3 linked regions of the Neurospora crassa OR74A genome follow. The protein of the gene in region 1 interacts with the protein of each later gene in a pairwise test. Links are inferred from orthologs where the notes say so. Each region holds a gene or a part of one and is shown on either strand. Other genes may lie near its edges.

Region 1 (3,621 bases):
CAGACGGTACTTAGCGAGGAGGACGTGGCGTTGGGAACTGCGGCCGTATCCGCTGCTCAGTCGCTTGGAGGCGCTATCTTCGTGTCGGTAGGAAACAGTGTATTTCAGCATCAGTTGCTCAAGGCAGCCGACGCCAACTTGCTCCCGGGAGTCGACATCAAGCAGGTGATCGAGGCGGGTGCGACAGCGTTCCGCGACTTGATATCGGCGGAGCAACTGCCCGCCATGATTCGGGTTTACAATAAGGCGATTCAGGCGGCGCTCATCATCCCCATTCCGCTAGGAATACTCGCAACTCTTATTGCGTGCTTCATCGAATTCAGATCGGTGAAGAAACTCATAAAGACCAACGAGGAGTCAGGCACATGCAGCACTGAACTTTCCGACCAGAGGCCAGGTACGAGCGCACGAATCTAAAAGGAGGTGTATCAGAAATCCGGGTCCAGGCGCATGGGATTCTTGGGGCGATTCATTTGCAGAATTTCGGAGGAGTAAATAGGCTCAAGAGGAGCACCATATGGATTAGAAGTAGGGGGTAGGTCAGCATGATTGCCGAATATTCCAAGCAATATTCTGGAGGTCAGCTCAAGAATCTGTGTGGAAGGATTTATGTCACCCTGCGACCTGAGTTAGCGTATTCTGTGACGGTTTGTGAGGGACGACTGAAGTTAATAGTAACTGTTGTTGTGAAGGGTGTTTCCTGTTGTTGGGGCAAGAATGACAAGTCGATGTGCAAGTGGTGCGTTCAGGGGAACAGTAAACAAATGCAGCCGAGCTCCTTCAAGTGCATACCATGAGTACTGTAATGTCTGATAGATACTACATCAACAATGACAGGCAGTATGTTGAGGGTTGCACCGGATCCGGAGCCCGAACAGCCGGCCGCGAGGTGCACACAAGCCTGTGACAAGTTGGAGCTTGTAAATACATAATGTTGCCTAGCGATAAGCAGCATCGCTTTGCCATATATTTGCAGATCTAGGGACCAAAGACCTCTCCTCTGTTTGCTACTTGCTCTCATTTCAGCTGCCTTTCTCGGATTCAAACAGCAGCCGTCAAATATTTGGCAAGAGATCTCACTCTCGTGGAATTGAAAGGAAGTCTTTTGTTACCACGGTTACCACAGGTGCACGGTTAGATTCGGACTGCCTGTTTCGTCTGTTGAGCGATTGCTATTTGACGGTCTCGGCCTGTCAGCCCTTTTGTTAGTCCATTCACTTTGTTCGGTGTGGAACCTGAAGACCGGCAGAGTGGGGCTCTTTCTTTGAAGCTCCACTAACATTTCTCCAACGATCGCTGCTCACTTTGCGACTCTTCTACCTGCTCGTCATTGCTTTTCCCGCTCGACCATCTTCATCCGCAACATCGTCCAGGACAAGCTCACTCGTTCTTGCTAAGCCTTGGCTCGATATCTATCTGACCTCGTAGTAGAGGGAGATTTTCGCATACCCAATCGAAGCCGCCGATTACCTGACGCGAACGCTATCGCTTGCGCATAGTCACACACGGCCAGCCTAACGTCATCTCCCACTCACACCATGGATGACCGAGAACTCGCCGCGCGCATCAAGGCGCTCTCCAAGGCTGTCACCAGTGAACCCCCTGCGACGGTCATCAAACTTTTGGAGGAATTGAAAAGAGATGCAAAGCCGACCGAGGAACAGCTTCGCGTGAGTCTTGCTCTGCCCTCCCATTAGCGCAGAGCGATCTATGTGAGCGGTATAAGTTCTGACAACTTTGCCCGTCCTAGTCGACGAAAGCAGGTGTGACCGTGGGAAAGCTGCGAGCCAATCCCAACAAGGACATTGCCCGTATTGCCAGCGAGATCGTCAACAAGTGGAGGAAGCTCGTCGAAGCTGCGAAGGAGGCGAAGAAGAAGAGCCAGGCCGCCGCGGCCTCCGGTGCCAGCTCCCCAGCACCCAATGCATCCCCGGCGCCCGCATCATCCGCGTACAACAAGCCCTACACTGGTGACGTCGAGAAGCGCCATTTTAAGACAGACAAGGTCGACATCAACCGAACCTCGAGCCAGACGCGCAACAACACCATCGGTGTGCTCTACAACGGCCTCGCTTACCGAAGAACTGAGTCGATTGAGGAAGTCGTCAAGCGTGCTGTCGAAGTCGAGAATGCCCTCTTCAAAGCTTGCAAGGGCGAAAACCAGGAGTACCGGAGTAAGGGTCGCACCCTCTTTACCAGCCTGAAGCGCAAGGACAACGCTGCGTTGGGACGACGAGTGATGTCGGGCGAGCTGCCGGTCGAACGCCTTGTCGTCTTGTCGGACAAGGAGTTGGCCTCGGAGGAACAGCGCGCTAGGGATGAAGAGCTGGAGAAGGAGAACATGAAGAAGGCCCAGGTACCCATGGCGGAGAAGTCGATCAGTGATGCTCTGAAGTGCGGAAAGTGCGGACAGAGGAAGGTGTCGTACAGCCAGGCGCAAACACGGTCGGCTGATGAGCCTATGACGACCTTCTGCGAGTGCACAGTTTGCGGAAACCGCTGGAAGGTATGGTTGATACACACGCTTTCTTTGACGGAAGTCAATTTGATCGCTAACAGTTGCATGTTTAGTTCTCTTAAATGGCGGGGCACAACAAGCTCCTTCATCACATTCCTTTTGGTATGGCTTGGGCCGCAGAGTGTGCGTCTTTTTTTCTGGCTCGATATGTTACTTTGAAGGGGAAATCCGCCTGTTGCACGCTTCGTTGGCTGATAATTCATGACTGGATCACATTCGCGTTTGGAAGCTCATTTGGCAGCAATATGAGATTGAGGTGTCTCAAGAATATCCCTCCACCTAGAGAGCACAATGAAAGAGGAGGAGGGGGTGGGGAGGAGCGGAAATGGAAAACAAAGTTACTCGAAGACGGAAGACGCTGTACCTTCGGGAACTTCTTCAAACATCGGAGTATGGATCATCTAACTTTTCTTATTATTTTTTATACCCCAGCGAAGAGGTGAGCGATGAATCACTAGCTACTTCATGACTTGGAAAGAGGTAGATATTGAGACGGGCAACGACCTACTTAGACCTCACACCACGCATTAGCAGTAATATAACCGTTAAGAGGCCATATGGCCGATATGGCTCAACAAACGTTTCTATGTGGACCTGTTGGACTCTCGGATGAGATACAATTAGAACATATCACATGTTTGATGACAGCAGCGAACTCAGCAAGCCTGACTCAGCAGGCACAATATTTACGTTGTTCAGTCCGTCTCAATTCCTACCTCTTCAATTCCTCTAGCCCCAACTCCGCAAAAAGATCCTCCGCTTGCGCCTGGGTATCGTTTTCCAGCCCCATATCGCCAATATGCTTCCAGAACTTGCTGAGATGTCTATTGCCCGAGTCGCACAATAACGTCACCACCCGACTGCCTCTTGGTAGTTTCATGGCTGTCACCACCGCCGCCACGCAGTTAACAGCCGTGCTACTGCCGCAGAAAATGCCGTCGTGCTCCACCAACCACCGAGCCATCCGGCAGGCCTGCTCATCTGTCACTCGCACGGCATCGTCAATCAGCACCCGCCCGGACTCAAAGTTCTCCGTGATGCGGTTGATGCCGATACCCTCCACCATCGTGTCCACCTGCTGACGCCGGCGTGTACCTTCCCGC
Region 2 (3,302 bases), on another chromosome or scaffold:
TCATTCCGGGCATCATTGTCTGGTTGGCCCTGAGTATCCTGAGATTTTGGGTCAGATCGGAGATGATATGGACGGCCATGCACGGTGAACGTTCGATAACGGAATTCCCGAACGCAAACAACAAAACTCGGCGGTATCAGCTCACAACATTTTGTTTGGTATTCTTGATATTCCTGATTGTTTGGCCGCTTGACATGGGATACTACATCATCACTTGGAAACCCGTTTCTGCATCACCCGACAAACCACTGCTGCTATCGAACACCCGCACAGCACCGGCAGAACAAGAACCACCACCGCCCTACTATAGTGCTATTGGTGTTGCATAAGGGGGGAGTTCATAGTGTACTAGACAAAATCTACTTCGAATAGTCCTAAAGGTTATATGGATAAATCAAAAGGAGTTAGTTGGATTTGCTTTGGCATTTTGAATGTTAGAGATGGCGTGCCCAAGGTTAGATTGTACATTAGTTAGCCATGAAAACGCATAGGAAAGTTGACACGAGGTCTCGAACTAACAGACCAACCAGTACTAGACTGTATGTATTGCATTCATGAATGAAGCCTTGAGAGAACAAACTATGATATACGATGTGACTTCTGCCCCGAGAGCTTGGAAAAAGGCAGGGGGCACTGCGACGAACTTGCGTACAAATCGCTCGAAAGGAAATCTCCAGCTTCAAAGCTAATTCCACTCCCTTTCCGTCCCTACCTACTGGGTAAACATTCTCCTATTTTTCACCATCTCATCCACCAGCCCAACTCCCGCTCTGACTCCATCAACAACCATGACCTTCTTCCCCCTTTCCTCGCCGTACTGCTCAATCGCAGTCCGGCGAATGATTTGCTCCAGTCCAGCCATGCCCGCACATCCCATCACCACACACTCCACATCCCCAGCCTGCAACAACTTCTTGGTCGCCTCGGCCAGTTTCGCATCAATCACCTCCTTGGAAATATCTCCATGGAAATCCCCCGCATCCAACCCCGTCGTCTGCACCCCGGCAAACTTTGCATTATTTCCCCCTTTCTCCTCTTGACCCAAGAATTTCTTGACTCCCACAGTCAGGTGCTCCTCCCAGTACTTGCCCGTCGTGACAATGCCCCATTTCTTCGTCGGGCCCGTGAGCAGCGACAGGCAAGTGAGGACGGATGCTTCAAAGATGCCCGTGACGGAGAGGGGAAAGCCGTTGGATGAAGCGAGTTCCGAGAGGCCGGGGACGAGTTGGTGCACGGAGTAGCAGCATACTAGGACGGCGTCGTGGTCTTTGAGGAGTTGAAGGTTGCTGCTGAGGTCTTGGAGGACGTGGGTGGCGGAGGTATCCAGGTCGGTGCCGTTGTTGATGCTGGCTGGACAAGAGGTAGGGGCTGTGTAGTAGGTGATTTTGATGTTCTGGAGGGGGGTGTTAGTCCACGTTTTCGGTTATTAGGGGTGGAGGAGAGAAGGGAAGACAGACGTCGGGGAGGTTTAGGCTGGAAATAGACTTTGCCATGCCATCGGTCATGGACTTGGAGGAGTTGGGGTTGAGGATCAGGATCCTGATTGGTTCTTGCTGGGCGGTAGTCATGTTGACGAAGGAAGGGGGGTGAGTGAGTGAGGTGAATCGATAAATGGTCTGAGAGGGAAATAGTCAGGTCTGAGTCCATTTTGGGAGGTATCATGAAGTACTCAGTTTGAAAGATTGACGATGGTAGAACCTGAATGGGAACAACCTACTAGTATCGTAATGAGTTGGTAAAATACCGATTGTATCGACGGCCTGAGTGAGAAAGAATAAGGCAACAAAGGGTCTGATAACCACAAATGAAGAATCAAAAAAAGAAGGGACGGGAAGAACCAATATCAATCTCCACTCTCAAATGCACAATCCATCCCGTCTGATCTCTCACGATGCCCAACAAGGTGCATGTACTACTGAAGGTACAAGTGCGAGTCTCATGCGGGGTATCACGTGGGTACCCTAATGCCTGCCACTTCCTTGGGGTCCAGAATCCTGCCAAGACCCGCTTGTCATCGGCGCTCGTCCTGGTCAAAATAATCGAGACCTTTGACATGATACCTTGGCTCCTTGGGTATACTGCTGACTCTCAAGTTCTAGGCAATTACAGAATGAAAATGTGTAAATAGGGCTCTAGCTGAGGTCTTTTTGAATTGTTATATTCCCTGTCACGGTCTTGCAGCGGTCTTTTCTATGATCTTGACGTCTAGTGAACTGGTTTACCTAGCCTGCTCGCTCGTCTCCTTTATTTTGGCTCAGACGAGCGGCGCCCTGTTTGAAGGAAAGCTTGGCAGTTAGCGAATGACCCCACATATCGATGCTACCCCCCCAGCTAGGCTACCGCGCTGGACTCCAGCTAATTACGGTGCCGTAGTCCACTTCGCTACCGTAACCCGGACAGGGCACCGACACCACTGCACCGACCGACCGACGGGACCACCGACACTTGGTTCCTGTTGATTCACCCGCGGGAGCTTTCCATTCTAGCTCCGATATACACTCGATATTCGAAACCCCGACGAAGCTATTCGCAACTCCATTGAAAGTTACCAAACCAAACAGCCGCCCAGCATGGCCAACACCGACGCTCCCATTGGTACGTCAGCTCTTCTCTCCGCCAACAACCCCTTATCCATCTGGTGTCTCGAGCTCAAGCTACCTTGACGACCACCAACACCACCACCACCCACCCATCTGCCTGACCGCGTCATCACCGTCGCCATGGCAGCTGTAGCCGTCGGACTCCGTCCTCAATCACTTCCACTTCACAACAACAAAATGAGCACAGCGCCCAGCTAACACTTCCCCCCTCGAACACAGTCCTCGATGGCGGTACCGGCTTCCTCAAGGTCGGCTACGCCGCCCAGAATTTCCCCGAATTCCAATACCCCTCGATAGTCGGCCGCCCCATTCTCCGCGCCGAAGAAGCCAAATCGCTTTCCGACTCCTCCGACATTGTGATCAAAGACATCATGTGCGGTGACGAGGCCGCGGCCGCCCGTACCATGCTCCAAATCAGCTACCCGATGGAGAACGGCATCGTCAAGAAGTGGGACGACATGCAGCACCTATGGGACTACACTTTTCACGAGAAGATGAAGGTCGATACGCGGGGAAGAAAGATCTTGTTGACGGAGCCGCCTTTGAACCCGTTGAAGAACAGGGAGCAGATGACCGAAGTCATGTTTGAGCGCTACGACTTTGGGGGTGTCTATGTCGCTATCCAGGCGGTGCTGGCATTGTATGCTCAGGGTATGTCACCGCTCCTTTACACGGCGACTTGAGGAAACAAGTAGCTGACAG
Region 3 (3,395 bases), on another chromosome or scaffold:
TACCTAGGTACAATTAACGAATGTTTGAGGTCGGCAATTATGGTTTCCCCTGGGTTTCAAATTTCACCCGCGACCTCGAAACGAGCTGAAGCATGCGCGCTCGAGGTCGTCAAGACAGAATATCAGTGGATGTTCTTGATTGCTGTGGTCAGCAACTGCCCTGCCCGGCCTGGGCAACTTTTGGCAGGTGGCTACCACTGGAACTAGTAGGTCGGTTGTTAGTGTCAAGTACCGTTAAAGGTATTGTGGTACGCTGAGGGTAGGGAGAGGGGAGCGTATGCCGATTACTGTGTACCTCTAGGTTTTGCACCTGCTTAACAGAGCTCAAAGCTCGAGCCATCTGATACCTACCTCTAGATAGTGTTGTACATCCTGTCGAGCTGTAGTTTTACGGGCAGCAGCCATCCAAATTGATGGCTTCCAGTGGATTTCTGAATCACGGAAAACAGCAGTGTCGTTGGCCTTCCGCATACGGTACTTGTAGTCATATGAAGAGATATCGATTGCTCACATCGGCGAAGAGAAAATTGAGGTGGCGCGGTTATGCTTTCTATACGTCGTCTAGATGTCAACAAAACCCTTCCTGGGCTGTCCTGGCCAGCAGACATACATTGCAAGCATGTGGTGTGCCCCATTGCTTCGTCTACACGATGGCCAGCTATGGGCCTTTCACGTCGAACACATCTCAGTGTTTCAGTGATAGCAACCCCAATGCAAGGAATGCTTCATTACTGCCACTTATTCAATCGTTAGATACCAAATATGTCCCTACTTCTCTAGACGCATCAGGCTCAATCATCCTGCCACCATCTTCTGTAACCACATGTCCTCTTATAACCACCTCATATCTCCAACATTTCCAGTTAACAAACTATCCCTCTACCCCGATTTTGTTGTGATAATCTTGCACGCGCGTGAATGGTTGCCAACAAGTCCAGCGCAAAGACTTGATGGCCGTGCATCTATCTGCCTGTGTATCCTCGGGCCTCATTCAAAGCGGCACACTTTGTAACGAGCGGAAGAGGCCCGGCAGTTGCCCATAAGACGCTTAGTCAGTGTGGACGGCGTCAGCCTTGGCGCGGAGGCCGCTGGCGGTGGAGCCATTTTGGAAGTAACGGCCAAGGGTGGGGGCGAGGAAAGAGCGGAAGATGGTCTCGGCGCCCCTGTTGACATATAAGCTTGTCTTCTTGAAAGTCTGATAGAGGCGGGAAACCACTTACTTGAAGGTAGGAAGAGAGAGCCAGAGGAGGAAAACAAACTTGAAGGTGAAGTAGAAGGGGAACCAGTAGACGACGCTGATCAAGCTCTCAATGACGCTATAGCCGCGTGGTTAGATATTAAGCGCACCAAGTCAACATCGAACGCAAAGCCAAAGTGGAATGCTTACGTGAAGAGAGAGAAAACAACCCAGTACTGTGAATGCGGTGGTTAGCATGGACACCATAGGCAAAGACCTTATCAGGCATATCCCGACTTACAGTGAGCCACTGGGTATCATCCTGCTTGGAAGCGGTAAAGAGGGCATTGAGCGAGTAGTATCCGGGGAGGACGAAGCCAGCGAGGTTGGTGAGGAGCTGGCCGCCGAGGTTGAAGATGATCAGGAAGAAATAGAGAGCAACGAGACCGATGACGGCATAAGCCTTGGGAACGCCGGTGGTCTTCTCGAGGTTGTTGAGGGTAGGGTACTTGGACAGCTATTGAGGCAGGTTAGCAACGCAAAATCCAACGACGCCGTGGCCTGGCCGACATGTCTGCGATCCGGCTGCGGTTTACGCACCTCCTTATCGAGCTGGCCGATGTACTGCTGGGCGCGGTCCTGAGGCGAAGACATTTTGAGTGTTTGGTGCGGTAAGCAAGTCTATCGATCTAGAGCTAGCTGTGATGTTTCGACGTCAGCAAGATGCAAAGTTGAAGTTCAGGGGAAAATCTGAGTCGGAACTGGCGGGGAAGCTGAAGCTGTGACAAAGTGGGTTGGGCAGCTGGGAGGGCTGGGCCTAAAAATCGCAGCCTGCTCGGTGAACACCCGCACCACCGGCAGAGAGGTGACGGGAAGCTGAGAGAAAATTGCTGACCTGGCTTTCGAATTCACCGTAACGATGCTGTGAAGTGCAATGTGTCGTCTGACCTTTTGCGGTTAGGGGTGATGCTATCGTGGAAATGGCAGTTGGAGTGTGGGAACGGGTTGAAGTGGGCTGTGGGCTGTGGGCACAACGAACAATGACGATTGATACGTGTGCATTCAAAAGGGGATCATCCTGTTCTCAACCCGAAACTTGCCCTGCCCGTGGGGCCGCAAAGCTTCCTCCCGTTATCAACTGCATCTGACTGGTTCCAGAGCCCAGTGACGCCACATCGGGAGCTGTTTGACCAGGATTGGTAGACGAGAATATGGTCGAGGAATGGCTTGAGCGTACGGGTGATAAACTTATTGACTTTTGGCTAAAGTCATCAACAGGTCCGATGGTGTAGTTGGTTATCACGTCAGTCTAACACACTGAAGGTCCCCAGATCGAGCCTGGGTCGGATCAACATTCAACTTTTTCTTTTTTGTCCGTTGCACATTCTAACAGTCTCTCATTGGCCTGATGCATCTCCTTCTGTGCCTCGCCTAAGCTGCGAACGGCTCGTTTTTCTCTCCATTTTGAGATCATCATCATCCTGATATAACTTTCTCTTAACATTTCATGGATCCACACAAGCAGCTTACCGTTTTGGTCGCTTCTTCCCGCTTCTTGTAAACATCTACCATGGCCAAATGCGGCTAAACTGTCACGGTATCCGTCCAATCTTCAATTGGCCATGGAGGTTCGAAGATTTGGGTAGTAAGGAGAGTGCGTTACTCTCTCGAGGTTGCCTCGCCTGCTCTACTCACTTTGCGCTTTGATCTTTGAGACAGGCGGCCATGACAACTTGTGGACGTTTGAAGTTGAGTATCAGAACTCATGACATGGACCAACATGAAGCTTTTCGAAGCCCCGCGATACCGCTACTAGCGTTTTCGTGCAATCAGCTCCACCTCATGCGGGTGGGTGTCGGCCGCCGCATGTGCAGCGCACTTCACATTTACTAAAGAAAAGTGTAATCCTCTGCCAGATGGCTCACCAGGAAAACAACCAGTTTGATCTCTCCAACGTATCTATGACCAATATCACTGAGGGAGAGATCAGTTTCCCCTCGTTCTGCGAGCGGTCAGACGCGAACATGCTTGCCAAGTCAATGCTGGCGCAGTCTCTCGTCAACGGAGTGAAGTACAGTGTTTGTTCTGTGATCCTATGGCGGGATGACAACTCCTGTCAACCAGAAACGCAGCCAGGCATCCAGGGCAGTAATTCATGGTGGAACGTCATGGTGTAGTGTACCGGATGTCTGGAGTGACTGGTTCGGAAAAGGCATAG

Evidence for each region. The genes of interacting proteins can lie anywhere in the genome.
Region 2: the proteins of NCU02563 (region 1) and NCU07170 interact in a two-hybrid assay, tested with the Schizosaccharomyces pombe proteins (2 studies listed by BioGRID, with this or other methods). The link is inferred for Neurospora crassa OR74A from reciprocal best matches to the Schizosaccharomyces pombe genes tfs1 and SPOM_SPAC1F7.10.
Region 3: the proteins of NCU02563 (region 1) and NCU06702 interact in a two-hybrid assay, tested with the Schizosaccharomyces pombe proteins (2 studies listed by BioGRID, with this or other methods). The link is inferred for Neurospora crassa OR74A from reciprocal best matches to the Schizosaccharomyces pombe genes tfs1 and yop1.

Annotation. Positions count from the first base shown.
Region 1 is NC_026501.1:2,742,748-2,746,368, forward strand, and holds NCU02563 (transcription elongation factor S-II), read left to right. Parts: upstream 1-1,298; 5' UTR 1,299-1,538; coding exon 1,539-1,670; intron 1,671-1,750; coding exon 1,751-2,506; intron 2,507-2,571; coding exon 2,572-2,580; 3' UTR 2,581-3,110; downstream 3,111-3,621. Other genes in the region: NCU02562 (hypothetical protein), read left to right, coding at 1-417; cys-12 (cysteine synthase 2), read right to left, coding at 3,231-3,621. UniProt on the Schizosaccharomyces pombe protein: Necessary for efficient RNA polymerase II transcription elongation past template-encoded arresting sites.
Region 2 is NC_026505.1:6,359,233-6,362,534, reverse strand, and holds NCU07170 (hydantoin racemase), read right to left. Parts: upstream 1,933-3,302; 5' UTR 1,718-1,932; intron 1,617-1,717; 5' UTR 1,569-1,616; coding exon 1,458-1,568; intron 1,394-1,457; coding exon 713-1,393; 3' UTR 514-712; downstream 1-513. Other genes in the region: NCU17050 (hypothetical protein), read left to right, coding at 63-329; arp2 (actin-6), read left to right, coding at 2,571-2,595, 2,820-3,251.
Region 3 is NC_026505.1:4,331,012-4,334,406, reverse strand, and holds NCU06702 (yop-1), read right to left. Parts: upstream 2,251-3,395; 5' UTR 2,073-2,250; intron 1,877-2,072; 5' UTR 1,832-1,876; coding exon 1,778-1,831; intron 1,695-1,777; coding exon 1,479-1,694; intron 1,414-1,478; coding exon 1,388-1,413; intron 1,317-1,387; coding exon 1,221-1,316; intron 1,164-1,220; coding exon 1,049-1,163; 3' UTR 514-1,048; downstream 1-513. UniProt on the Schizosaccharomyces pombe protein: Required to generate and maintain the structure of the tubular endoplasmic reticulum network and the vacuole. Induces high curvature in membranes and causes membrane tubule formation. Involved in membrane/vesicle trafficking.